Linked DNA regions of Oryctolagus cuniculus. The protein of the gene in region 1 interacts with the protein of each later gene in a biochemical or structural test. Links are inferred from orthologs where the notes say so. Each region holds a gene or a part of one and is shown in the gene's direction. Other genes may lie near its edges.

The links.
Region 2: the proteins of PIN1 (region 1) and PKM form a complex in vitro, tested with the Homo sapiens proteins (2 studies listed by BioGRID, with this or other methods). The link is inferred for Oryctolagus cuniculus from reciprocal best matches to the Homo sapiens genes PIN1 and PKM.
Region 3: the proteins of PIN1 (region 1) and CDC25C interact in a test that uses a peptide from one of them, tested with the Homo sapiens proteins (2 studies listed by BioGRID, with this or other methods). The link is inferred for Oryctolagus cuniculus from reciprocal best matches to the Homo sapiens genes PIN1 and CDC25C.
Region 4: the proteins of PIN1 (region 1) and PLK1 form a complex in vitro, tested with the Homo sapiens proteins (3 studies listed by BioGRID, with this or other methods). The link is inferred for Oryctolagus cuniculus from reciprocal best matches to the Homo sapiens genes PIN1 and PLK1.
Region 5: the proteins of PIN1 (region 1) and PML form a complex in vitro, tested with the Homo sapiens proteins (2 studies listed by BioGRID and IntAct). The link is inferred for Oryctolagus cuniculus from reciprocal best matches to the Homo sapiens genes PIN1 and PML.
Region 6: the proteins of PIN1 (region 1) and JUN form a complex in vitro, tested with the Homo sapiens proteins (2 studies listed by BioGRID). The link is inferred for Oryctolagus cuniculus from reciprocal best matches to the Homo sapiens genes PIN1 and JUN.

The regions. Positions count from the first base shown.
Region 1 is NC_091447.1:67,377,477-67,382,633, reverse strand, and holds the start of PIN1 (peptidyl-prolyl cis-trans isomerase NIMA-interacting 1), read left to right. Parts: upstream 1-2,114; 5' UTR 2,115-2,211; coding exon 2,212-2,269; intron 2,270-3,359; coding exon 3,360-3,575; intron 3,576-5,157. UniProt on the Homo sapiens protein: Peptidyl-prolyl cis/trans isomerase (PPIase) that binds to and isomerizes specific phosphorylated Ser/Thr-Pro (pSer/Thr-Pro) motifs.
Region 2 is NC_091443.1:110,893,133-110,897,493, forward strand, and holds part of PKM (pyruvate kinase PKM), read left to right. Parts: intron 1-527; coding exon 528-798; intron 799-1,633; coding exon 1,634-1,784; intron 1,785-1,863; coding exon 1,864-2,016; intron 2,017-3,864; coding exon of another isoform or gene 3,865-4,031; exon of another isoform or gene 4,032-4,361. UniProt on the Homo sapiens protein: Catalyzes the final rate-limiting step of glycolysis by mediating the transfer of a phosphoryl group from phosphoenolpyruvate (PEP) to ADP, generating ATP.
Region 3 is NC_091437.1:26,128,882-26,133,242, reverse strand, and holds part of CDC25C (M-phase inducer phosphatase 3), read left to right. Parts: intron 1-2,828; exon of another isoform or gene 2,829-3,158; intron 3,159-3,428; 5' UTR 3,429-3,462; coding exon 3,463-3,656; intron 3,657-4,358; coding exon 4,359-4,361. UniProt on the Homo sapiens protein: Functions as a dosage-dependent inducer in mitotic control. Tyrosine protein phosphatase required for progression of the cell cycle. When phosphorylated, highly effective in activating G2 cells into prophase.
Region 4 is NC_091450.1:15,668,504-15,672,864, reverse strand, and holds part of PLK1 (serine/threonine-protein kinase PLK1), read left to right. Parts: intron 1-973; coding exon 974-1,193; intron 1,194-4,361. UniProt on the Homo sapiens protein: Serine/threonine-protein kinase that performs several important functions throughout M phase of the cell cycle, including the regulation of centrosome maturation and spindle assembly, the removal of cohesins from chromosome arms, the inactivation of anaphase-promoting complex/cyclosome (APC/C) inhibitors, and the regulation of mitotic exit and cytokinesis.
Region 5 is NC_091443.1:109,482,919-109,487,778, reverse strand, and holds the start of PML (protein PML), read left to right. Parts: upstream 1-1,706; 5' UTR 1,707-1,771; coding exon 1,772-1,900; intron 1,901-3,235; coding exon 3,236-3,699; intron 3,700-4,860. Other genes in the region: STOML1 (stomatin-like protein 1), read right to left, coding at 216-348.
Region 6 is NC_091438.1:114,258,287-114,262,208, forward strand, and holds JUN (transcription factor Jun), read left to right. Parts: upstream 1-1,719; coding exon 1,720-2,733; 3' UTR 2,734-2,834; downstream 2,835-3,922. UniProt on the Homo sapiens protein: Transcription factor that recognizes and binds to the AP-1 consensus motif 5'-TGA[GC]TCA-3'.

The DNA.
Region 1 (5,157 bases):
AAATAAATAAATCTTAAAAAAAAAAAAAAAAAAAAAAAAAAAAAAGAGGGGTCCATGGAAAATAGAATTAAAAGGTAAGTTTATGTTGGTGCAAAATTTTTTGAAGTCCATACCTATGTGGGGTCTTCAAAAGGTTTATGGAAAATGTATACTATGAAAAAACCATGGATTTAAAAATTTCTTGAACTTAGTCAGCATGCCATTAGCAGCTGACTCCTGCCAGCAGCCACAGGAACTGGCTTGGAGGTAGATCTTACCCCAGTCCAGCCATCAGAGGAGGCCACAGCCACCCTGCTGACGTGAGCTACATTGTGCCTAGCTAGATTCCTGACCCACACACACTGAAATAGGTGTTACTCCCTACATGAAGGGCAGTTTTTCTCTGCAGCAGTAGACAGCTTAAATGCAATCGGCAATGCATTTTGAACATCATCAGCCACCTGGTGTGATGCAGAGCGAGGAGTCCAGGGTCCACACACACCCTCAGTCCCACCGCGAGCTGGCGTGAGACAAGCCCATCCTGAAGCATTACAGAACAGTGGGAAGATGGAACCAGTGTGTAGTGAAGAGGTTCACACCGCTGTTGATTTCCTAGCTTTGAGGATTATTCCATGGCAGGGTTTCTCTGCTGTGGCAATGCTGACATTTGGGGTTGGGGAATTCTGAGCTGTGGGGAGCTGGCCCATGCCTTGCAGGATGTGCAGCAGTCTCCACAGCCTCTACCCACTAAATTGTCCCTTCCTCCCTTTGTGACAGCCATAACTGTCAAGACATCACCAGATGTCCCCTGGAGAACAAAACTGCTCCTAAGTGAAAACTTCCGTTCTGCTGTGTCAAATGCTATCCCATTTGCCAGCTGGGTGAAATCTATTTTTGCAACTCCAATTATCTTTTACAATTATTATGCTAAGATGTGCTTAAAAATGAGAACATTAAAAAGTTCTTCATTTTTTGTCATTTGACTTGTATCACCACTGGTAGTCAACATTTTAATGAATCTATAAATTTGCTGTGATATAAGCCTATAATACTTAACATATCTTAGCTGTAGGCTAGGAAGTGTTTTGAGTGCTTTATAGGGACCACTCCTTAACCATCGCATCAGACAGAAGAAGTGGTAGTATTGCTTCCTCCGACTTTGCAATCGGAGGACTTGAAGCACGGGGGTTCAGTAACTTGCTCGCACCCCCTCACCCCCAAGCAAGGTGGCTCCGCAGCGCCCTTGGCCTCCTACCTCGTCCTGCCTCTGTGTTTTCCCTGAGCCACGTCTCTGAGCCTCGATGTTGTTAAGGGGCACCCATGTGGGTGCAGGGACTATAATCCGCTGTCTTCCCAGGTGCATTAGCTGGAAGCCAGATCAGAAGTGGAGGAGCTAGGTCTGGAACTGGCACACCGATAAAGCGCTCCCTTGTTCACCTGCAGCCCTTGGCACTCCCGGCCACCCCCGCAGCAGCTCATGCTTCTCCCACCTGCGCCTCCTCTCGCGCTCTCCTCGCCAGGGAGGAGGAAGCAGCCAGAGTGAGAGGAAATAAGTAGATTCCAAAGGGCCCGCGGGGGGAAAATGGTTTAGCCCAGCGAGGCCGGGTTGGCTTTGGACATCTGGAAGAAGCAGGTGGGAAGAGGGAGGCTGGAGAAGCCAAACTTAGGCTTCGGGCACTGAGCTGCTCGTCACCAAGGCAACTGCGTTGTTATGGCAACAGCACGGGTACCACCGCCTCCTCCTCCCACAAGTAACCTGCACAGCGGCCAGACGCTTCCGCATGAGGGTCGTGCGGCCTTCCGGGAACGGCTCGGGCAGGCGGGAACTGCTGCCCCGGCAGCCAATCAATAAGCTCTATCCTGTCGGGTCGGGTTCCGCCCGCCAAGAGCGCCAAGAAGGGGGTTGGGACTTTTTTCGCTCTCGCCAAAGGGCGTTGAGAAGGGCGGTCTCGAGTCTCTAATCCACCACTTAGGAGCCAAGGAGAGGAGAGGGGCGGGGCCTGAGTGAGCCCGACTAGGGGCCGGGTACCAGTGTAACGTGGGGGGATCCGCCCACTCTCGCTTCTGCCCAGTAGCAAGACGGAGAGCTCATCCTGACGGTTGGAATGTCCAATGAGCGTCGCTGCCAGGCCCCGGTGCGGAGAACGCCGAGCCAATGGGCAGCGTCGGTGGGCGGGCGCGGGTGACAGGCGGCGCGGCGGAGGCGGAGCGGGCGCTGCGGCAGGAGGGAAGATGGCGGACGAGGAGAAGCTGCCGCCCGGCTGGGAGAAGCGCATGAGCCGCAGCTCAGGTGCCGCGGGGATCGGGGCCGGGGCAGGGCCGCGCGGGCCCACGGAAGCAGGGCGCGAGCTCTGCCCTCGAGCGCGGAGGAGCCCCCCGCTTCCGTCCCGTGAGGTCTGGGCTCCTCCGCGTCGCCCTCGGAGTAACGGCGCCGGCCCGCCCCCGTGGAGGGCTGCAAGGCTCAGGAGCCGGGAGGAAACTGAGGCAGGGGGCGGGGCGGGGGAGGGGCCGGGGAGGCCGCGGCGCTCCCTGAGGCGGCGGCACTGAGTCTGCCAGCCCGGCTGTCTGCAGCCAGCACGGGCCTGCTGCACCTGTCGCTCTGCGGGGAGCTGGGCCCGGGGCACTCCCTGGGGAGGGGGATACCCCTCACCGAGCAGAGAGGCGTGGCACACACACCTGCCGGCCACACCTCTTCCTGAGTCTGCTTGGAGCCCAATCGAAAGCTTGGCCCCGTTAGGTGTGCACCCCGCATCGTGTTTTTAGTTCTCTGAGAATTGCCGCACGTCTGGGAGATGGGTCGTTGGTGCGCCCATTTTACAAGTGGGGACGCTGAGGCCAGGAAGTGGAAGGATGTCTTCCAAGATCGTGCATTTCAGGGGGGTTGGAGCCGGCTTGGAACCCAGTCTGCCTGCTCCAGGGCCCCTGGCGCTTTTCCTGTGTCACCGCGAGCGCCCGAGGAGCTGGCCCGGCTTCTCTGAGTAGGTCTAGGGTCCCTCTGCCGCCCCTGGAGCCCGCAGTGGCCACAGTCGAAGTAATAGTCCTTGTGTGTCGACCCAGGGGAGGTTTGATGGTGTTGATTCGCTCACCCCCATTTTGCAGATGAGTAAAACTGAGGCTCGGGGAGATAAGGCCCACAGACAGCATCTTAGCCTCAGTGGGTGGCTCAGCTGGATTTGTTGCTGGAACCCCCCGATCCCCTGTGTTATTTTTTCTTCCCTGAAGTTAGCAGTCATTGGGGTTCTCTTGTTGTCGTCTTTGCTGGTTTGGAGCCTGTCTTCCCCCACTGAGCATGTGAGCCCCCTCAGTACAGGGGCTGTGCGCTGCCGTGTCCGCCCGTGGCGCAGGGTGGACACGCGATGGGTTTGCTGCCCTCCCCGCAGGCCGGGTGTACTACTTCAACCACATCACGAACGCCAGCCAGTGGGAGCGCCCCAGCGGCAACAGCAGCAGCGGTGGAGGCAAAATCGGGCAGGGGGAGCCGGCGCGTGTCCGCTGCTCGCACCTGCTCGTCAAACACAGCCAGTCCCGGCGGCCCTCGTCCTGGCGGCAGGAGAAGATCACCCGGACCAAGGAGGAGGCCCTGGAGCTGATCAACGGTGAGCAGGGGCTCTCGGGCCGGGATCCTCTCCACTTCTGCTCTCCCTGCTCTGAGGCTCGCCGACTCCAGGAGGAAGAGGGCGTTTGGAGGTAGAGCTGCAGGAGTTCCTGCCAGAGGGAACTTGGGAAGAGGCTCATCCTGGGCGGGGCCCTTTAAATCCTGGGGGCTGGGGGCGGAACTTGGGGAGGCAGCCGGACGCAGGTCTGGGTTCAGCAGAGCAGGGAGGCCAAAAGGACATGTGGGGTGATCCGGGTAAGGTGGCAGGAGGCTGAGCGGCCTTCCCAGCTCTGGGTCGGTGCTGCGGTGGGGCTGCACTCACCAGCTTGGGTCTTAGGAAGGGATAGACCATGAGCAGGTGGGCCCGGGCCCGCTCTTCCGTAGGTGGAGATTTGGGGATGTCAGCAGGCTGCCAGCGCGGGGGGGGGGGGGGGGGGCCTGTGGAGGCTGTGGGAGAGATTGCAGGCAGAGGCAGTGTGGCTCGAGCCTGGGGTGGGCCGAGGGTGGAAATGAGGGGGAGGCGGATTCTAGAGAGATTCAGGAGACAGACTTGGGAGGATGCAGGGGTGTGTGAAGTGGGCGAGGCTCTGCTTGGGAGGCCCACCACACCCTGGGCTCCTCAGGACTGGGGTCTTGTGCCAGCTGTGTGTCCTGGAGCAGCTGTGTTCTCTGAGCCTCGGTGGCTGCCTCTGTAGGCTGGGCGCGTGTCCCCATGAAGAGCCGGGAGCCGTGGGCTCGGTGTCTGGGGCTTGACCCCAGTCCTTGAGGCATATGCATGGGGGAGCTGAGGTCGAGGGAAGGCCTGGGCTCATGGGCTGCTTCTCTGGAAAGATCTCTGGGCCTGGACACGGGCGGTCTGGTGGGCTCAGCATAGACCCTCTGGTGACCTTGGACTGCGACCTTCTCTGACTTCAGTGTCGTCCTGCTCGAGGTGGGACTGGTGCAGGACCCTCAGAGGTTGCTAGGAGGCCGTGGTGAGCCGGCCTTGGCTGTGGCGCACTCAGTAACCAGACATCCTGTGTGTTTTCCACAAGCCTTGGGTGCCTGGGCCTTGTCCTGTGTGTGCAGGTGACTGCTCCCCCGGTCTGGCTGTGTTCCAGAGGATCAGGAGTCGATGGTTTGGCCAGCGCCCTCCCCAGCTGGCAGCCTGGGCCCACACGAGTCTCCTCAGTGCCCACTGGGACCCGGTGCTGCCCCGGGAGACGCGTCTGCAGCGAGAATCAGCGCCTCCACCTCTCTGCAGAGGCTCCTCTTCCCAGCATCAGCTCCTCTGCAGCTGCTGGGCTGCCGCCAGGGGCTGTCAGGAATCCGAGGCCCGCCCAGTGTCACTGTTGGTGTCCTTGCCTGAAGCGGCCAGCCAGGGGGAGCCATCCCTGCCTGTTTCCCGTCCCTCCATGCCTGTGTGCCCAGGGTCCCAGGGAGGCCCCGACCTGAGGATCCCCCACCCAGGGAGGGCCAGTGGTCCTAGGCTGGGCCTCTGGGCCCCTTGCTGGATCTTAGGTCTTCTGGGGACATAATCCTGACTTCTTTCCCTGCCCAGGCCCCTTCCCCTTTGGTGCCTGGGTGCCATTGGACTAGAAGCA
Region 2 (4,361 bases), on another chromosome or scaffold:
AGGCAGAGAGCTCCTCCGGCCTCCCGACTTGCGGGGCTCGTGGAAGGTAGGGAGGTAGGAAGCTTGGTTGTCTGGCGGAGAGATGGTGGTATGGTGAGCTCTGTTTATTTGAGAGGTAGATTGACAGAAAGGGGAAGACAGATTTTCTGTCTGCTAGTTCACTCCCCGGGTGCCCACGGCATCCAGGACCAAAGGCAGGAGCCAGGTCTCCTTCGTGGATGGGCCATCAGCTGTGCCTCCAGCTGTGTCAGCAGGGAGCCGGATCAGCAGCTGAACGAGGCGCTCCACTATGGGATGTAGGCGTCCCAAGTGGCGGCCTAACCTGCACCACGGCACTCACCCAAACGAGTGAGGGAGCGCGGGCAGACAGGCTGTGGGCGGGGGTTGGGCTTGTTTGCGTGGCCCTGGTCCCCAGGTGTGCTTCCCTGGTCCTCCGCGGGGAGGGAGGCACCTGCTGATTGCTGCTCCCCTGTCCCCTGGGGGATGGGCCCTGGCAGCTCTGCATCCCCTGCTCGCTGTGCCCACAGGTCCTGACTTCCTGGTGACGGAGGTGGAGAACGGTGGCTTCTTGGGCAGCAAGAAGGGCGTGAACCTCCCCGGGGCTGCGGTGGACCTGCCTGCCGTGTCCGAGAAGGACATCCAGGATCTGAAGTTCGGCGTGGAGCAGGACGTGGACATGGTGTTTGCCTCTTTCATCCGCAAGGCGGCTGACGTCCATGAGGTCAGGAAGATCCTGGGAGAGAAAGGGAAGAACATCAAGATCATCAGCAAAATTGAGAACCACGAGGGGGTGCGCAGGTGAGTCCCCGGACGCCAGCCGGCCAGCCCGCCTCGCGCCTGCTCGCTGGGCAGCACACTGCAGCGGAAGGCTGTGCAGGCGGTCTGACGTTGCTCCGTGGCCGGAGGACCCACACCAGAGAGCAGGCCCCTGCGCACAGGACGGGGGCTGGCACCGTTTCCTGACCGGCGGCCGTGGGGAAGCGCGGGGTCGGGGTCTTGGTCTTCCCTCAGAAGGGCTGGCCTGGCGATGAGCCACTCGCCCCCAGAGGGAAGCCTGGGGGTCTTCTTCAGGTCCCCAGGCTGCCCCAGCCCAGCCTGACCACCTCCGCCGTCTCAGTGTGGCCAGCTGGCCCCTCCTAGAGCAGTAGCTCGTGAGGGGCAGGGCGGCAGCAGCCCTGGGGCCCACAGCCTGGTGTTCTGGCCGTCTCCGGCTCTGCCTGGGCATCCTTCCTACCACATGAGCTCGGCTCTCTGCCTTTGCTGTCCTGATGGGCCGGGCTGCTGGCTCGGGCCGGTGATGCGCGTGCCCTCTTGCCTCCCTGGGGCATGCCTGTGGTGTCCTTGGCTAGATGAGGCCGCCGACCTTGGGGTGGGAAGCAGCCAGCAGCGTCGGTGCCCTTCCTGGGAAATGCTGACTGGAGCACTTGAGGGCCTCACAGGGTCAGGTGGAGAGGCGGGGCGGGGCATCCCAGAAGGTGTCGAGGCCCAGGAGCCGGGAGCCTGGCCACGTGCACGCATCTGTGCTGTGTCGGGCCCTCCGAGTTAGGGGTCGTGGCCGGGGCTTCCTGTCTGTCACCATACTTGGGACCCCTGTGGAATATGACTTCTGTTTCGTCCCTGCGCCCTCTGTCAGGTTTGATGAGATCCTGGAGGCCAGCGACGGGATCATGGTGGCTCGCGGTGATCTTGGCATTGAGATTCCTGCAGAGAAGGTCTTCCTTGCCCAGAAGATGATAATTGGGCGATGCAACCGTGCTGGGAAGCCTGTCATCTGTGCCACGCAGGCATGTGGCCCTCCCTGGGGACCCCGTCCCTGTGCACCCCCAGTCCAGCAGGGTCTCACCCGTGCTCTGCCCCTCCCAGATGCTGGAGAGCATGATCAAGAAGCCCCGCCCCACCCGCGCCGAGGGCAGTGACGTGGCCAACGCGGTCCTGGATGGAGCCGACTGCATCATGCTGTCTGGAGAGACGGCCAAGGGCGACTACCCGCTGGAGGCCGTCCGCATGCAGCACCTGGTGAGTGCCCAGGGCCCCGCTTCCGCGGAGCCTCACTGCACAAGTGAGGCACGTGCTGGGCGTGGGGCGCCCCTTCTGCCCCGCCTCCCAGCTCCTGTCCGGAGGAGTCACCCCAGCTTCCGAGTCCTTCGCTTGAGTCCTGGGGTACTGCTGCCCTCAGCAGATGCCTGTCGCCCTCCTCAGAGGTCCAGGGGCTTCAGCACCTTTGGCCTGATCCGGAAGACACCAGGGCTCCTGCCCCCAGCTGCTCTGTTTGGCTGCTGACTGGACTCCCTGCGGGGCCTGTGTGCACCCAGCAAGCTGCCTGTGAGCCGGCCTTGCATGGTGCCTGCAGCGGGACCGGCTTCTGTGCTGTGGGGGTGCAGCTGCCTCACTTAGTCCAGACGACCCAGAGGGGCTTGGGAAGGTGGCCAGCCCCGGTGGTCCTCACACTGGAGTCATCTGCAGGAGTCTGGGGCTGGGCCATAGCCGCCTGACCTCTTCTGTAGGTGGGAGCCCAGGGCTGGTTGTCAAGGCCACTCGGGCTTGGTGCACCTTGAGCCCCAGTCACCTGGAGAGTGGCTCCCTGTGGTCTCTGACGCTCCTCTGTCTGTGTGCTGTGGTAAGCTCAAGCGGGAGGGTGATGACCTTGTCTGAAGCACACGGACTACAGAAAGTGTCTCTGGGCGAAGTCTCCACTCTCTCAGGACCTCGTCTGTAAGCTGGATTAGATGAGATCTACGACTGCTGGCTTTAGTTCTGATAAGTCCCTGGTACACTGATGTAATCCTGACAGCTCCCAGCATAACCAGGGCTGTGGGACAAGAACTCCCAGGACACTGACCCAAAGCCGGCCTTCTCCCTGCGGTTCCCCTGCCCAGTAGGACTTAGAACGAGGCTCTGGGTCCCAGAGTTGGTTCTGGGTTCTGAATTCTGTGCCTCTTTCCCTTAACTGGTCTTTCCCATGGACAGACAGCTTAGGGCGTTGCAGGCTCTGGGCCAGGATGTGGCTGCCCTGCAGGTGGTGCAGGCCACTAGCCGGCAGCCGCCTCTCAGTGTCCGTGCTCGGACTGATGCACTGACCCGTAACTCAGGGCTAGGCCGCACCAGGTATGGCCCTGGCTCCTGTCCCTGTCCCTGTCCCTCGGGCTGCATGCACTCATCCCATCGTTAACTCGGCGGTGCTCCCCGCGTCTGCTTCCGCTCGGAGATGAAATGAATGGGGCGGTGCTGCTGACCCTTCCTCGCCCGTTGATGACTAAGCCACTGGGAACTGCATTGTAATCTCGAACGCTTCCACTCGCTTTCTGATTCTCAGTCTCACCTGAGCTGGTGGTCTGTGGTAACTCAGCTCTCTCGCGCCTGTTTTAATCAGTAGCTGTTAATCAAGCGTCCTGTGACGTCCCCGCATGCTCCCATGGGTGTCTCTTCACATGGCTGTTCAGGGCGGCCCTCGCGAGCTGGCCTGTGCTGCCAGCTCTCCTGCGTGGCCTTGGCTGCTGACGCCTGCCTCCCAGCCCTGTTGTCTGTTCCCACGGCGGGCACTGGGGAGAGCACCCTTGTGCCTCAAGCCAAGCAGCCTCCATGTGGCACAAACACCCAGACAGCCAAGTGAGGAGGGGCCTGCTCCTTCCCGAAATCTGTGTCACGAGGCAGCGTGGTCAGGTCCAGCCTGGGCAGGTCTCCATGCCACGGCGCTAGAGCCCGCGGCCATGCTGGCTGGACCTGGACCCTCTGCCTCTGCTTGACGACCCGATTAACCCGGGGTGCCTTCCTCCCTGATTAATCCCCCGTTCTGTCTTTCCGTGTCTTGTCTTCCCTGTCTCCTCCTCCTCCTCTCTTCCTTGCCCTCTCCCCTAACCCTTACAGATAGCTCGCGAGGCTGAGGCAGCCATGTTCCACCGCAAGCTGTTCGAAGAACTTGCGCGAGCCTCCAGTCACTCCACAGACCTCATGGAGGCCATGGCCATGGGCAGCGTGGAGGCTTCCTATAAGTGTTTAGCGGCAGCTTTGATAGTTCTGACGGAGTCTGGCAGGTAGGGCCCGAGGCCAGGTAACGCTGCAGGGGACCCTGCCTCTTGCGCCAGCTGCTCCAGGATGCGCGGCCTGGGCCCAGAGCCTCTGCTCAGCTGCAGGAAGACAGCCAGGGTGGTCAGGACAGGGCAGGACCGGAGGCTCTGCCTCGGTAGGCAGCGGCGTCTCGGGCAGCCGGTGGAGGAACGCCCCCGGGGAGTCTGGCTCTGCTGCTCCCGGGCTGCAGCCCTCAGGCTCGTGTTGGCCTTGCTGGGCCGTGTCCCCCACCCGCTGTCTGTAGACTCATCCCCTCCCCTCTCTGACAAAGCTCTGACGAAGCTCTGTCCCCTCTC
Region 3 (4,361 bases), on another chromosome or scaffold:
CCTTTTATTGAAGAAATACAAACATCATGCATTTCAAAAGTGCAACTGTAGGATAGTGATTCTTCCCACCATACCCACACTGCCACCCTCCTCCTCTTCCCTCTCTCACTCCCAGTCCAATTCTCCACTAAGATCCATTTTCAGTTAACTTTATACACAGAAGACCAACTCTATACTAAGTAAAGGGTTCAACAATTTGCACACACACACACAAAAAAGTGTTAACAGTAGAAACAAGGGCTATTCAAAGTCATTGCATCTCTACATTTTTTAATTTTTTGAAATAGCTATTTTTATTTATTTGATAAAGTTACAGGGAGAGTGAGTGAGAGAGAGATCCCCCAACAGCCAGTTCACTCCCCAAATGGTCACCGGGCTGAGCCAGGCACCAGAAGCTTCCTCCAGATCTCCCGTGTGGGTGCAGGGGCCTAAGCATTTGGGCCATCCTCCACTGCCCTCCCAGGCACATAGCAGGGAGCTGGAAAGGAAATGGAGCAGCTGGGACATAAACCACCAGCATCTATATGGGATGCCAGTGTCATAGGCAGCACCTTAACCAGCTATGCCACAACGCCAGCCCCGGAGTCCAATCTTAATTATTCCCTCATGGATCAGACCCCACCTGTGATCTTGCTCCAAAGAGTTTCAGCAGAGTATGCTTCCTGGGCCCCCTTCTGGTGTCCATGCAAATTCAATGAGGTTTCCAGGGCCTGGTGCTAGTCATCCAGGAAGTCCTCCAAAGGGAAGAATCCATTGGCTTGAGGGGTCGCTCCATTCCCTGCCTACAAAGGTAGCAAAGTCAGAGGCAGATGCATTCGTGCGGACGCTCCCTTTTCACCCAGGGAAAATTAAACCTCTTCAAAGTGGGGAGAGGCAGAACTCAGTCCATCACTCATGGAAGTAAGCAGTAGTGACACCCTGCCCTGTAGAGATTGGCCGGAGGTGGGTAGGGGTCCCAGGTGTGTAGGTCCTTCTCCATTACCTAATCTGGATATCTGAGGAGCAATGGCTGTACCTTCTGTTCTTGTTTGAGGTTTGAAGGTGAAGCCCTGGCTGTCACTGTGGCCTGGCAATAACAAATATGGGTCACACTGAGGTCAACATGAAGAGACACAGCTCACTGCTTATCACAGTGAATCGGGAGCCTAGATAGTAATTTCTGGGAATGACATAAGATCAATATCCTCTATCTAACAGAAAAAGTACATCTTCATCTTCATGTCAGTCTAAACACCTAGCTTCTTACTATCCTGATGTTCTTTCTTCTGGGAAGTGTAAATTAGATATATTCCAATCCCCTCAGAAGTCAAGATACAAAAGACAAAATTTGACTTCCCTTTAAAATACATCGAAGCAGAAATCAATGCACACACTCTTAATTCCTGCCTGATTTTCCAGCTCATTTGGTAGAGTAAGGCTTTGTGCTGACTCCCACACTCAGCACCTCTGTCCTGGAGGACAAAGACTGTTCACAAACCTCCTTTCTGGGGAAGCAGGCTCCACAGATGAAAAAGTTAAAATAAAACTCATCTGACTAGTCTGCACTGCTCATTCACTACCATCACCAAGATCCTGAGGTCAATATAAGTTGTATTGCTGACTTACTGCATCTCAAAGATAACGTTTGCATTTCTGACTTTTATTTCTCAAAGTGGGGTCTGTGAGCCATCTGTATGGGTAGTACCCTGGGGTGAGGTGGTTAGGTCTTGATAATACCTGGTCCCCACACTACACCTGTGGCAACATCTTTTTTGGGGCCTGCATTTTAAACAGCTTTTATAAGCTTATAAAGCTTTTTTTTAATATGAGCCATTCTAAATACACACTGAAGTGTGACGAGTATAGCATAATCCCTTACCTAAGTATGGTCCCAAGTCCAAGTGCCTCAACATCAGCTGGGCATTTGTTTAAAGTGCAGGATCTTGGGACACAATGCAGCCCTGCTGAACAGACTCTGCATTTTGACAGGATCTCCAGATGATTAGAAGGCAAAACTAAATTTTAGGAAACCCTAATATGATGGACACCTCCATTACCCAAGAGTCATGACAAATCTCATCTATAAACCACCCAATTATTAAGAAGCATCTTCCCAGTATTAAAAAATTTCAACTAGTCAGTGTTCAGATTTCTAAAGATCTTTTGCACTGTGATAAGGATGGATTGTGCCTGGATGATTCAATTTCCTTACTTTCCCTGAGAAGCAATTTCTTTTTACCCACATAATTATCGACTGTGAGCTGCTGCGCTCTCAAAGGGACACCGGACAACGGAAGCTCCTTGGAAGGCACCTATCTTGCTTAGCATAAACACACACACCTGCTCACACCTCCACCTGCCACCCCGCAGCAAATGCCTGGTCCTCAGAGGAAAGCTAGCTAAGACGGAAAGGTCCCATAACGACGCAAGAAAAGCAAGGAAAAAATAATGCTTAAAACACCCTCACACTCCTAATTATCTCTTCTAATATCCTAGCAAATGGTGGTGGTTAACGAGGAGCAATTTAAATCTCCCGGGGTTGGCGGGGCGGGGCAAAGGGAAAGTACAGAGAAGGTGTGGCGATTGGCCAGAGGGAGAGCCAGTGGTGCGTCAGGCTCCCTGCGGGGCGGAGCCTATTCACAAGCTTGCCCGACGCTAGTGCACCACTCGCCATCCTGCTCTGGCTCCAGGGGTGGGGCATGTTTTGTCCCACTTCCGGAACCTGCTCACGCCCCCCGGGTGAGGTACGAGCCAAAAGATTGGCTACCAGGATGTGGGCGGGCGCGCGGAGATTGGCTGACGCGTCTTGGAGGCCAGCGGGGATAGGTTAGTGGGAGGGCGGAAGGTTTGAATGGTCGAGACTCGCGGCTGTTGATGGGCTTGTCCAGAGGCTCTAGCGCTGGCTTTCTGACCTGAGGGGCGGCGAAGCCCGACCCTGGCCTACGCAGTGGACAAGCGGAATTTCAAGCTGGTGAACCGCGTCCTTTCATTCTGCTCGAGTCTTCGCTCGTGTCCGACCGCTACCCACTTTCTCCCGAAGGCCGTTGTCAGACTACAAACGTGAGGTAAATTTGGCCGCTGTCTCCGCCACAGAGTGCCCAGGACCTCATTGTCCCCTCGATTAGTTCAGAGGACGGAATGGGCATTGCCATGACTTGGGAGAGCTGAGCCCCTTCCAGGTAGGAGTGTCCAGTTGTGTGGCTCTGAGCAGGTGGAAGGTCTGTCTGTATTCCGCGGTTAAAGTCCTGAGGTTGCCTCTCAGTAAGTGCAGGCTCTGACGCAAAAGCCCCGCCGCTTCGGGCCAGTGCCTTAGGCGTCGAGCGAGGCTGTGATCCGCCCTTTGGGGATGCCCCTGGTGCGGCTCCGGTCCCCTTGACTGCAGACCTGAGGGGGTTGGAATCGGAAGGGGCTGCGCTGCACTTACAGGAGCGACGTCCTCTTCTCGCTAGGTTTCGCCTTTTCCTTGGTGAGAGCTCCGAGACCATGGCTGCAGATCTCTTTTCGTCCACGAGAGAGGAGGGGAGCTTTGGCTCAGGCCCCAGTTTTAGGTCCAATCAGAGGAAGATGCTACACCTGCTCTTGGAGAGAGACAATTCCTTTACCCTCTGTCCAGAGCTCCCGAGAACTCCAGGGGACAGACTGCTTGGTGATTCTGCAAATCTCAGCGTTTTGTCTGGGTAAATCCACCTTTATTCTTAAAGCTTATATCCTTGACTTCTCTAAACAAGTGTGTGTGTGTGTGTGTGTGTGTGTGTGTGTTTTGTTTTTTAAATTATCCTGGCTCAAAGATCAACATTGGAGTCTCAGCTCTGCTCTGACCCTTTTGAATCTCAGACTACTTTTCTGTTGCATGGAACTAATAATCTCTTCCTGTCTTCCTGGGTTCTGGTAAGAGTCAAATAATGTGATATCTGGGAAAACTCCATATCATTATGTGAGCTGTTCACTTTATTTCTGGTAATATTGGCTGTGGTGGTCTTGTACTTCTGGCCATACCATGTCGTGATACCTTGGCTACCAAACAGAAGTGTAGCAGATTTCAAGAAGAAACCAAATCTGTGTGTTCATGGTGCACAGCACAGAGGACATGATGAGGTAAAGAAATCCCTTTGTAAATAAAGTTGAGCCCCATAAAAATAGAGTGATACTGTCTCATTATGTTGATGAAGAGATAATGTGGTACTGATTATTGGAGTCAAGAAAATGTGGGAGATTTTTCTCCGCCCAGTCTGAGATATTTCCAAAAATCAACTAGGTTAACTCGTGTTTCGACACTGTTCAGCTCATGTTATAGACATTAAAGGTGTTTCAAATGACCTTTGCCTTTTAAGGATATTACGATCTAACAGGGATCTTAATGTACTGTTATGTCTCAACAGAGA
Region 4 (4,361 bases), on another chromosome or scaffold:
ACAGTGTAGGAAATGGATTGTCTTCATTCGATCACGTTGGGCAGGTTGCCTGAATCTTCTGAACCGTAGTTTTCCACCTGCTTCTGGAGTGGCTGGCACACACCAGGTACTCAGAGACTCCGTGAGCTTCTCCCAACCACTGGCACCAACGCGTTTTTACAGAACGGCCCGCTTCTGCAGAGGCCTGGTACACTGCCGGTTTCCAGTTTGCGGCTCTTGGCATATGTGAAGCCAAGTGCTCTGACTGTGGGAGGACAGAGGAGTGACGGCCTCAGAGGGTCAGACTGCGGTCAGACGTGGGGTTGGTGCTGGCTCCTGTCACTCCCGAGCTAGATGGGTATCCTTAGGCAAGGCCCCCACCCTCTCCGTGCCTCAGCCCCCTCTGTAGAGGAAGGCAGACAGACATCCCTGCCCTTAGGTGCGGTGTGTGTGAGGTCCACGAGAGTTAGTGAACAGCAAGCGCTGAGAACACTGCCCCGGCGCATAGTGCGTGCAGAGCCAGTGCCAGGCTGTGGCTGCCCCAGCCTGTGCGAGGACAAGCCCATCGAGGCTTCTGAGCAGGGCCCCAAGCTTGGTGCTCACCGTCCTTTTACAGATGCGGCCCCAAAGGCCCTACAAAGCGCAGGTTGCTTGTCGTAGCTGAGATGAGGGCAAAACGGTGTTTAAACAGGTGCAAGACCTCAAAGCCTGTGTCCTCAAGGCGCTGCAGTGGAGACGAGCAACTTTAGGTGTGCAAGGGCAAGTCTGGGGGAAAACAGCTTAATCTGGAGTTCCAAGAGGGAAGAAACGTGATCCTTCTCACTCGTCAGCTCCGTGAGGTCGATAAGGGGGAGCTTGGCGATGTTCTTAGTTGTGGAACCATGGCTTACTTGAGACCCGGAGCTGCCCTGTGGGCTGTGGTCCCGCTATGACAGCACTGCTGTCCCAGTCCACGGCCACGCCCGGCTCAGGGCTTTCTCTGTCTCTGCTCCAGCACATCAACCCTGTGGCTGCGTCCCTCATCCAGAAGATGCTGCAGACAGACCCCTCTGCCCGCCCGACCATTAACGAGCTGCTCAGTGACGAGTTCTTCACTTCCGGCTACATCCCTGCCCGGCTGCCCATCACTTGCCTCACCATTCCACCCAGGTTCTCAATCGCTCCCAGCAGCCTGGACCCCAGCAGCCGGAAGCCTCTCACCGTCCTTAATAAAGGTAAAGCAAGGGGAGGGTCAGACACAGAACCCCAGAGAGAACCGAGGCCCCTAATATCACTTCTTCATGCTTCATTGAAGGAGACAGGAACAGTTTCAAATACACACCCTGAGCAGGCTGTGGGAGCCTCCAGGTCCCCACCATCTGAGCAGTCACACCTGCCCTGCGGAGCCTTCCCTGTTTCTCTGATATATTCTTAAAGTTAACCTCAGACATCTTGCCATTGTACCCATAACTTCAGTATGCGGCTTCGATTTTCTTAGGAAAATCTAACGTCACGTGCCATTACCTAGGTTGTCATTTCCTCTGGGTCTCTTCTATAGGACAGAGTCAGGAAATACTTACTTTAAAGGGGGACATCTGGGTGTATGATAATGTTTGCGATTCCCTTTTTCGTAGCATTTTATTTTGCTATTATTTCAAGGTTAAAAAAAGGTGGAAGAACAAACAGGAAGCTCCTCTTCCGTCTACCCTGTTCCCTAGATCCACCAGTTGCCATTTTTTTTTTACATTTACTTTTATCTTCTTCCTCTACCTCCCACGTATACTGCACATGAGGGTACTTCAAAAAGTTAATGGGAAAAAAATGGAATTAGAAGTTTATTTTGGTGCGAAGTTGAACCTGTAGTTTTTCATAATACAGGTTTTTCCATTAACTTTTTGAAGACATCATTCATTTGCATTGCATGCACACAGAATTGTTTAAAAGTAAGTTGTGTATGTAAGTATTCCATTCTTACCCTTAATACTTCAGTGTGTATTTCCTAAAAACAAAGATTATTTTATATAACCACAGTGCATAACAGTTATCAAGCTCAAGAAATTTAACATGGATACAATATAGTTTTAGAGCAATCTTCTTTTTAAAATATAGACTTATTTATTTTATTTGAAAGAGTTACAGGAGGAGAGAGAGATCTTCCATCAGCTTGTTCACTCCCCAGATGGCTGCCATGGCCAGGGTTGGGCCAGGCCGAAGCCAGGAGCCAGGAGGTTCATCTGAGTCTCCCATGTGGGTACTGGGGCCTGAGGACTTAGGCCATCTTCCACTGCTTTCCCAGGTGCAATATCAGGGAGCTGGATCGGAAGTGGAGCAGCTGGGACTAGAACCAGCGCCCATATGGGATGTCGGCACTGCAGGCTGCAGCTTAACCCGCCACGCCACAGTGCTGGCTCCAAAGATATGTTGTTTTGTTTTTTTTTTTTAAAGTAGCTTGAAATACTTCCTCTAGGTGTATCTCAGTTTGATAGACAACTTAAGTTCATTTGTTTGTTAGTTTTCAATATTTAGGGATTACTTTCTAGAATTTTATTGTAGAATAACTTTAGGCTTATACAGAAATTCTAAAAGATAATAGCAATTGCAGAGAGAGTTCCCATATACCCTTCCCTTGGCTTCCCGCGCATCAGCGTGTTGTGTAACCACAGAGAAGGACTAAAACACAGGGCAGTATCTTTTCTTTTTCTTTTTTGAATTCTACTTTTCACTTTGTAAATTTTTTTTTAAGATTTATTTGTTTTACTTGAAAGTTAGAGTTATGCAGAGAGAGAGAAGGAGAGGCAGAGAGAGAGAGAGAGAGAGAGAGGTCTTCCATCTGCTGCTTCACTCTCCAGTTGGCCACAATGGCCGGAGCTGTACCGATGCAAAGCCAGGAGCTCCCCGCTTCCCGGGTCTCCCACGCGGGTGCAGGGGCCCAAGGGCTCAGGCCATCTTCCACCACCTTCCCAGGCTATAGCAGAGAGCTGGATAGGAGGTGGAGCAGGCGGCAGCTTCACTGCTCCCCCTCAGCGTCGGCCCCGGTAGTTTCACACTCCAGGCTGTCTTGGGCCCTCGTCAGGTTTTCCACTTCCGCTCTTTCTGTGGATTTGGAGTTCCTCGCGCTCACACTGAGGTTCTAGACTTTGGGGGAGTGCAGCAGAAGTGATGCGCCCTTCTCCGTGGACTCTGGTTTGTTTCGTGGGTTTTTTTTTTTTTTTTTGGACAGGCAGAGTTAGAGAGAAAGGTCTTCCTTCCATTGGTTCACCCCCCAAATGGCCACTACGGCCGGTGCGCTGCACCGATCCAAAGCCAGGAGCCAGGTGCTTCCTCCTGGTCTCCCATGCGGGTGCAGGGCCCAAGGACCTGGGCCATCCTCCACTGTACTCCCGGGCCACAGCAGAGAGCTGGACAGGAAGAGGAGCAACCAGGACAGAATCCAGCACCCCAGCCGGGACTAGAACCTGGGGTGCCAGCACCACAGGTGGAGGATTAGCCTAGTGAGCCGCGGCGCCGGCTCCATGTAGTCTATCAGGGGTACACATTGATTTTTTTTTTCTCTTGTTAGTGGTGGTGTTTATTAACTGTGATCACTTGGTTACCGTGGCATCTGATGGGTTTCTCTTATTTTTATCTGAGAGAGAGAAAGCTCTCATCCACTGGTTTGTTGCCCAAATGCCTGCAACAGCTGGGTCTGAGCTAAGGCTGGAGCCAGGAGCTCGGTCCAGGCCTCCCATGTCAGTGGCAGGGACCCAGTTACTTGAGCCATTGCCAGTGCCTCGGAGGGTCTGCATTAGCAGGAAGTGGTGAGTCAGGTGACACGCAGGTGTCCTAACCGATGTATGACTGCTAGGCTCAGTGTCCCGTGCCGAGTTTAGCGCCCACGGCGGGGCCTGCCTGCAGCAGTGCTCACTGTGTTCTCGTGCTCTTTCTTTTCCCTGCTCCTGCGTTTCACTAGTTGGCCCTCTAAGGAAGAGCTGGCCCTCTCCTTGTTTGCTTATTTATGTCAGTAATGAACTCAAGGATTGTTTATTTTGTTCTTTGGGCTATATTAATATAATACTGGGGTTTTTTAAGGATTACTTTTCAGTTTAATTTTGAACTTACAGCTTTTTTTAAAAACAAAAAACTTCATGGATGTTTTCAACTTTACCCAAAGGCAGAGAGAAGTGTGCCGTGACTCCCCACGTGTTCGTCATCCGTTGTCAGTAGTTACCAGCACAGCTACTAGATTTTGATCTGTTCCATACCTTCCTCCTCCTCCCCTTTTTTCCTAGTTTTTAAAGCAAATCCCTAATATGTTACTATTTCATGCTTGCATACCTGTCACAGCATAGTTTTTTTCTTAATTGAAAACTTCTTTTAGGAAATATTTCAGGAGAATTAGACATGTTGGTGGGGAAAAGAATTAA
Region 5 (4,860 bases), on another chromosome or scaffold:
TCACACGGGGGCCGTGGTCAGCACAGGACGGCCCCGGGAGGCGCCGCGCTACCCCCGCCCCAGGGCTGTGGTCAGGCTGAGCGGCGGACACCCGGCCCATGGGGCCTGGGGAGCCGCAAAGGGCTCTGCAGCAAGACGGGCCCAGGTAAGAGCCGAAGCTCTGGGGGCAGCAGGGGTCGCTCCTTCGGGGGGCTGGGGCGTGGGCGGCCACTCACCAGCCCCCGGCCCCACGCCGCCCCGCTCCGGGGACCAGCAGCCCTTCTGCGAGCCCAGAAAGCCGAAGCTCGACTGCTGGAAGCGGTCAAAGTCCCCGAGCGGCAGCGCCCGGTACCCAGACCTGCCGAGCATGGCTCCTGACAGGGGGGCGCGGCCAGCGCCGCTGACCGCCGGCCCCAACCCTCAGGCCCCGCCCCCGCGGCCGCCGCTTCCGGCTTCCCTTGCGCGGCCCCGGCCGTGGCCGGAGAGGAGGCAGCCCGGGCTGCTCCCGCCGTCGCACGGCGCCACCCAGCGCTGGGAGGACCGCACTGCGGCCGGGCCGTGGGGGTGTGGCCTGCTCCTGCTCTTGCTCCTGGCTGGTACTTGGCCTTAGATGGACGCTCCTCGAGGTGTCCACACAGCCCGGCTGGCTCGGGGTGGGTGGTGGCGTAGACAAGTCCCGGCTGGAGGAGCTGCTATAGAACCCCAGAATTGGCCGGCGCCGCAGCTCACTAGGCTAATCCTCCACCTTGCGGCGCCGGCACGCCGGGTTCTAGTCCCGGTCGGGGAGCCGGATTCTGTCCTGGTTGCCCCTCTTCCAGGCCAGCTCTCTGCTGTGGCCCGGGAGTGCAGTGGAGGATGGCCCAAGTGCTTGGGCCCTGCACCCCAAGGGAGACCAGGATAATGCCATCGGATCAGCGCGGTGTTGATCACCTCCTAGGTGGCCCCAGCCTCCCCTCCCCCCTAAGGAAGACACCCTAGGAGAATCCTCTCTCGCCCAGTCTGAAAACTTGGCAGGAATTTCACACTCAGCAGAAGAGGATAGGGGGAGGAAGATCTGGACCCCATGCCCTTCCAAGCACTGACCGCTCAGCATCTCCCCAGCTGCCCCTGGCCCAGCAGGTGCACTGCCTCCGTCAGGCTGTGTGACCTTGCTGTCCTCGGTCCGAGCGGCTAGAAGCCGTCTCTGATTCCGTCTGCAGAGGGGCCTGTCGGTCCCGACCGATGCCTGCCCCCGAGAGCTTGCTGCCTTGCTGCCCGCGCCTCTCTGTCTCACGCCTGAGTCCTTCCTGGCAGAAGAACTCTGTCCCAGCCGCGTCCGCTCCGGGATGTCAGCTACAGGGGCACGGGATGAATCAACAGGGGGTAGAGATGCATCCCGGACGCCAAAGGCGGGAGAGCTGGGGGCGACAGTGCTGCAACGAGAGGAAATGCAGGCTGGGACCCCATAAACCGACATCAAAGGGCGTTCCGAGCTCTCCAAGCCCTGAGTCTCCAGTGACCAGCCCCCTCTCCAGCCCAGCCGGGGCTGCAGCCTGGGGTCTCCGAGGACATGGTCAGCTCCTGGGTGGCCTGTGTCCCCAATACCCCTGCTGGGGCTGGGCCAGAGCTGCAGGAGCTGTGATCAAAGTGGAAAGTCCCCCAGCCCCAGTCGCGACCCCTCCCCGCGCCCCAAGTCACTTCCTCCCGAGAGGCGGGCCCTGGCCGGCGCCTCCCCTTTGGCCTGACTCAGCCTCTCGTGCCGTTTCTCCCGCCCTCCCCGATGCAGACGGAGAATCGAAAGTGAACCGGACCCATGCAGCAGGATCCCGCGCCCGCCGGGTCCCCGGGCTCCCAGCGCGACGCCGGCCCGACCCGCACCCCTACCATGGCGTCCCCGGAGTTGCGCTCCGAAGGTGCCCCACGTAGCCCCAGCCCCGCAGAGGTACTGCGCTCACATGGCGGGGGAGGGGGTCGCTGGGAGGTGGGGGAGGAGGGGGGATAGGTGGGAAGAGGGGGGTGCAACGGGAGACTTGGCCAAGTACCTCAAAGAGTGCACCAGGACAAAGGACCAGGCACCAAAAGAGGTGCCCGGCCTCTCGCCTGGGGCCCGCGTGGGAAAGGGAGGGGACTAGCAACTCCAAGTTCCCAAGTTGGAGGTGGAAGTCGGCGGCCCGGTGGGCGCCCGGAACAGGTGAATGGGCAGGGGCCGCGCGGCTTCTGTGATCTCTTTCCGGAAGCCTCCAGGTGACCTGCTGGGAACCCCCTTCCCGCCTGCGCCCCACCTCCCCCACACACCCACAGGCACTGTGCGGTTGGCTGGCTCTGGGAACGCTCGGAAGCACGGCCTTGCGTTATTACAGCCAAGAATCGGTGGCTTAGCAGTGCTAGTTAGCACTAAGTTAGCACCGTTAGCACCGACTAGTTAGCACTGCCTAGTGCCAGGTGATAGATGAAGTACTTCCGGGGCTGCACTTTTTTTATATATATATGTTGTGGCAAGAGAGACATCAGGAAGAAGTGACCAGTGACTCCCTCCTAAGTGAGCGCATTTCACCCTCGGCCACCCTGCCCCCCAAGTCCAGCTTTGTCGTCACCCTGGAAACTGTGCCCTGCACGCGGTAGCGCCTGGCTCCCGGGTCACCTCTAACCCACTTTCCCACTGTGAACGTGCCCGTCTGGGCTGTTTCTGTAAGCGGGCCCGAGTCGGGGTTTCTCTGCGTGTCTGGCGTAGTTTGTTCAGCGTGATGTCTTCAAGCTTCAGGCATCCAGAGTTCGTTCTGTCCCGGGGCTGCGTGAGGGACAGTCCCTTCACGTGCAGAACGCATTGCACTGCCCAGCTCTGGGTCGAGCGAGGCCTGGGTTCGCGCACCCGGCTGCTGGGAACGGTGCTGCTGTGTGCACACCCTGGGGTCCCAGGGGGCTGGTGGGCCTCTGTTTTCAGAGTTTGATAGTTAGGGATGGGAATTAGGGCTAAGGTGGCTCAGTGCTTAGCAGCTTTGGGGGGAACCCCCTATCTGTGTAGAAGGGGGTACCTGGCTCACCTACCATCCAGACTGAGCTCCGTGGAGGTGGAGGTGTGTCCTGGGTCACCGCTGGGTCTCAATGAGCACATGCTGAATAGATGGGGTACTTGGGTCGTGCGTGGAGCAATGACAGGGTGGCAGGGGATGGTCCGGTCCCCCCCCCCCAGCCACAGGGACGGATGGGCGGCTGCAGAGTGGGGACTCCTGGGACTTTTCCAGGCCTTACCTCCTCCCTGTTGTCCTCCCTCCCCCAGCAAGCCGAGGAGGAAGACTTCCAGTTCCTGCAGTGCCAGGGCTGCCACACCCAAGCCAAGTGCCCCAAGCTGCTGCCTTGCCTGCACACGCTGTGCTCGGGGTGCCTGGAGGCGCCGGGCCTGCACTGCCCCATCTGCCAGGGGCCCCGGGCCCTAGACGGGGCGCCCGTCCTGGACAACATCTTCTTCGAGAGTCTGCAGCGGCGCCTGGCCGTGCACCAGCAGGTGGTGGACATGCAGGCCGCCTGCACGCGCTGCAAGGAGCCCGCCGACTTCTGGTGCTTCGAGTGCGAGCAGCTCCTGTGCTCCGGGTGCTTCGAGGCGCACCAGTGGTTCCTGAAGCACGAGGCGCGGCCGCTGGCCGAGCTGCGCAGCCAGTCAGTGCTGCAGTTCCTGGAGAGCACCCGCAAGTCCAACAACATCTTCTGCTCCAACCCCAACCACCGCAGCCCGATGCTGACCAGGTGAGTGGCCCCGGCCGGGCGTGGGTGCTGGGTGGGGGCATGCCGGAGCTGCTGGGGGCCCGGGGTCTGCAGATCGGGGGGTCCGTGGTGGTGACCCCAGTGGGAGACACCTGTCACCAGACCGCCAGAGGCGCTGGATTCCAGGAGCAGGTGCAGCGGTCAGAGCCGGAGCACCGGCAGCCAGGGCAGACGCCACAGCAAAGACGACCAAATCAGGTCAGAACTACTGTATTAACCAGCAAGCTCCATTCTGTTTTTACGCATGTAACCATTCCTATGCAGAGTGGACAGTGAGAGAGAGAGACAGAGAGAAAGGTCTTCCTTTGCCGTTGGTTCACCCTCCAATGGCCGCCGCAGCCGGCACGCTTCGGCCGGCGCACTGCGCTGATCCGATGGCAGGAGCCAGGAGCCAGGTGCTTCTCCTGGTCTCCCATGGGGTGCAGGGACCAAGCACTTGGGCCATCCTCCACTGCACTCCCGGGCCACAGCAGAGAGCTGGACTGGAAGAGGGGCAACCAGGACAGAATCCGGCGCCCTGACCGGGACTAGAACCTGGTGTGCCGGCGCCGCAAGGCGGAAGATTAGCCTAGTGAGCCACGGCGCCGGCCACCAATAAGATTTATTTAAGAGAGCGAGAGAGTGAGAGAGAGGGCGCAGAGTCTCCGAGCTTCCGTCATCTGCTGGGGGAACTGTGCTGATGAGTTTGAGTATTTCAGTTTCCGTGGAGACCAGAGATTTGTAACATGTTCACAGAAAATGAGGGCTGTGAGAAGGCTGTGCGAGGACTCCCAAAATGTTTGCGCCAACAGAAGCGTGTCTTTTAACGCCCGTGTCCCAGGCGCGTTCGGAGAGCCCCCTCTCGGATGCAGATGAGAGAAGTCTCTGAGGGGTCCGTGTGCGTGGGAAGGGGCTCCTCCTCGCTCGGCAGGGTAGAGCTGTGCACCTGCTGACTGCCAGGGGCTGGGCTCTGCCTCCAGAGAGACTTCTGCACCAGCGGCGAGTCCCCGCTTCTGTCCCCCCTCCCTCACCACCTGCTGTCACTGGTTTCGGTTTTGTTTCTTTTGACGGGCGTGGTGCTTAGTGGCTGGTGTGTCTCCTCCTTGGTGGGTTACTAGGAGCTGCACTTGGGTTTGTTTGTTGTTGTTTTTTTTTCTTTCGAAG
Region 6 (3,922 bases), on another chromosome or scaffold:
GCAAACCCGTCCGCTCCGGGCACTGCCACACAGCCGCGCGGACTGTCGCTCCAGAACTTGACCCGCAAACTTCGGCGCGTTCTCCACGTAGTGGTGTTGGGGGGAGGGGGGACCCGACTCTCGCGAGACCGCCTCCCAACTGGAGCCCACTTTCCGCTCGCCCCCACGGGGCACTCCGCGGAGCACCTTCAGGGCGGAGCTCCCGGCCCCCGGAAGTGCGGGGCGGGGTGGGGGGAGGGCTCGGACCGGGCGCTCGGCCTCCCAGCCCTGCACAAACGCTGGGGCGCCACTTGGAGCCCCCTCGACTCCGCCAAGTGGGGACACGCCCGCGCCCACTCGGCCCCAGGCAGCTGGCACAGCTCTCAGCCTTCCGTGACCCGCCATCCGCGTCTGGAGCCCTGAACTTGAGCCCCCGCCTCCGTCAGCGGCTGCGAGCGTCCGGCCGCCCGCCCGCCCGCTCGCTCGCTCGCGGCGGCCACCGTCACTAGACAGTCAAACCCCAAGACGTCAGCCCACAATGCACCGGGCGGGCCGGGAAAGACGGGCCGGGAGGGGACCGGGAAGAGAGGGGCTAGAGGCGCGCGGAGGGGGAGGGGGAGAGGAGGAGAAAGAAGGGCCCAACTGTAGGAGGGCAGCGGAGCATTACCTCATCCCGTGAGCCTCCGCGGGCCCGAAGAAGAATCTTCTAGGGTGGGGTCTCCATGGCGACGGGCGGGCCCGCCCCCCAGAGAGCGACGCGAGCCAATGGGAAGGCCTTGGGGTGACATCATGGGCTATTTTTAGGGGTTGACTGGTAGCAGATAAGTGTTGCGCTCGGGCTGGATAAGGGCTCAGAGTTGCACTGAGTGTGGCTGAAGCGGCGAGGCGGGAGTGGAGGTGCGCGGATTGAGGGAGACAGACACACAGACACAGTCCGCCCGCCCCGCCAGGACGCCCGTAGAGTGCGATCCGCACGGCTGCGTTGCTTTGCCAACTGCCCCGCGCTAGCGCCTGTGGATCCCGGGCTGGTGTTTGGGGGGAGCACCTGGAGAGCTGCTGCTTCTCCAGCCGCCCCCGGGGAGGAGAGCCCCACCGCACGAGCGCAGCTGACAGCCGCGGAGAGCGGCGACTGCAGCGGCCAAGAACTTTCCGAGCCGGGAGGACCGGGGACAAGTGGCCCGGAGTCCCGGAGCGAACTTTTGCAAACCTTTCCTGCGCTATTTGGGCTTGCCGCGGCGGCAGCAAAGAAAAGCAAGGCGGCGGAGAGAGGAGCGAAGAGGAGCGACGCGCGCGCGGCTCCGCTCGCCCCGGCCTCTGAACTTGACCGGCGCGAGCCGCTGCCGCCGGGAGCCCCCTGCCCCTCGCAGCGGAAGAGGGCACAGTCTCCGGGAGTCCGGGCGGCCGAGACCCGCCGCCACTGCGGGGCACCGCGCCGCGCCGCCGGGGAGCCTCCGAAGGGCGCGCAGTGAGTGACCGCGACTTTTCAAAGGCGGGCAGGCGCGCGCGAGCGGCCGAGGAGTGCGGGCGAGCGTCTGAACCCCGCCGCTCCCGGGAGCGGGGGCCGGTGAGCGGGGCGCCCAGGGGGAAGACAGCCCGCGGGTGCGCGCGCGCTCCGAAACTTTTCCTTTGCCAGAGGCCCGGGGAGGCGCGGGGTGCTCCCCGCCCGCCAGCGCGCTGTCGCGGCCCCGAAACTTGTGCGCGCAGCCCAAAGTAAGCCCACGTGAAGTGACGGACTGTTCTATGAGTGCAAAGATGGAAACGACCTTCTACGACGATGCCCTCAACGCCTCGTTCCTGCAGACCGAGAGCGGCGCCTACGGCTACAGTAACCCCAAGATCCTGAAACAGAGCATGACCCTGAACCTGGCCGACCCGGTGGGCAGCCTGAAGCCGCACCTCCGCGCCAAGAACTCGGACCTCCTCACCTCTCCCGACGTGGGGCTGCTCAAGCTGGCGTCGCCCGAGCTGGAGCGCCTCATCATCCAGTCCAGCAACGGGCACATCACCACCACGCCGACCCCCACCCAGTTCCTGTGCCCCAAGAACGTGACCGACGAGCAGGAGGGCTTCGCCGAGGGCTTCGTGCGCGCCCTGGCCGAGCTGCACAGCCAGAACACGCTGCCCAGCGTCACGTCCGCGGCGCAGCCGGTCAGCGGGGCGGGCATGGTGGCTCCGGCCGTGGCCTCGGTGGCGGGCGGCGGCGGCGGCAGCGGCGGCTTCAGCGCCGGCCTGCACAGCGAGCCGCCTGTCTACGCCAACCTCAGCAACTTCAACCCGAGCGCGCTGAGCAGCGGCGGCGGGGCGCCCTCCTACGGCGCGGCCGGCCTGGCCTTTCCCGCGCAGCCCCAGCAGCAACAGCCGCCGCCGCCGCCGCAGCCGCCGCACCACCTGCCCCAGCAGATCCCCGTGCAGCACCCGCGGCTGCAGGCGCTCAAGGAGGAGCCGCAGACCGTGCCCGAGATGCCCGGCGAGACGCCGCCCCTGTCCCCCATTGACATGGAGTCCCAGGAGCGGATCAAGGCGGAGAGGAAGCGCATGAGGAACCGCATCGCCGCCTCCAAGTGCCGGAAAAGGAAGCTGGAGAGGATCGCTCGGCTGGAGGAAAAAGTGAAAACCTTGAAAGCGCAGAACTCGGAGCTGGCGTCCACGGCCAACATGCTCAGGGAACAGGTGGCACAGCTGAAACAGAAAGTCATGAACCACGTTAACAGCGGGTGCCAACTCATGCTAACGCAGCAGTTGCAAACGTTCTGAGGACAGACTGTCGAGGGCTGAGGGGCGACGAAGAAAAAGAAAACAAAACCAACAGAGAGACAGTCTTGCGAACTTGACCGGTTGCGACAGCGAGAAAAAAATAAAAAAGACGCGTCCGAGGACTAAGGCCAAGGGTATCCAAGCCGGGCTGGGTTGCGTCCTGACGGCGCCCCCAGTGTGCACGAGTGGGAAGGACTTGGCGCGCGCTCCCCTTGGCGCGGAGCCAGGGAGCGGCCGCCTGCGGGCGGCCCCGCTCGGCGGAAGGGCTGTCCCCGCGCCATCACGACGGTAGACTTTTCTTTAACATTGACCAAGAACTGCATGGACCTAACATTCGATCTCATTCAGTATTAAAGGGGGGGAGGGGCGGGGTGACAAACTGCCATAGAGACTGTAGATCGCTTCTGTAGTACTCCTTAAGAACCCGACCGGGAGGGCTGGGGAGGGGCGGCGGGGGGCGGGGAGGGAGCCGGGGAGGGCCAGGCTGAGCCTGCAGATACACTCTTTCTGGCCTGCCTTCGTTAACCGTGTATGTACAGATATCTATTTTTTAATTTGATGAAAGCTGATTACTGTCAATAAACAGCTTCATGCCTTTGTAAGTTATTTCATGTTTGTTCGTTTGGGTGTCCTGCCCAGTGTTGTTTGTAAATAAGAGATTTGGAGCACTCTGAGTTTACCATTTGTAATAAAGTATATAATTTTTTTATGTTTTGTTTCTGAAAATTCCAGAAAGGATATTTAAGAAAATACAATAAAATATTGAAAAGTAATCCCCCCCAACCTTTTTTCTGCATTATCTCTAGATGCTAGGTAATCTGGGTGCAATCAAGAGAGTTTTAGTGTCCATCAGGATCGCTCAGTACTTATTGCTTTCAAGCAGTACAAACTCCTGGATTCCCTACTGAACTTTAGAAATAAGTGGTCCTGGTGTTATCATCAGGTCTCAGACTTCCCAGTTGATCACCAGAGGGTAGTGGGGGGTGGGAGAGGGTGGGTCCTGGGGACTGGAGGAAAGGGGGTTTGGGGGCAGAGGGGCAACCCACTGGCAAGTCAGACACCTCAAAGTTTGGGATTCCATCAAGTGGCAGGTGCTGGGACCGTTTGTAATGTTGGTCGAAATTTAACAGTACATGCTTATTCTCAAAGCAGGAACCCGGGGCAGATCTTAGAAAAGATGTATCCTTCC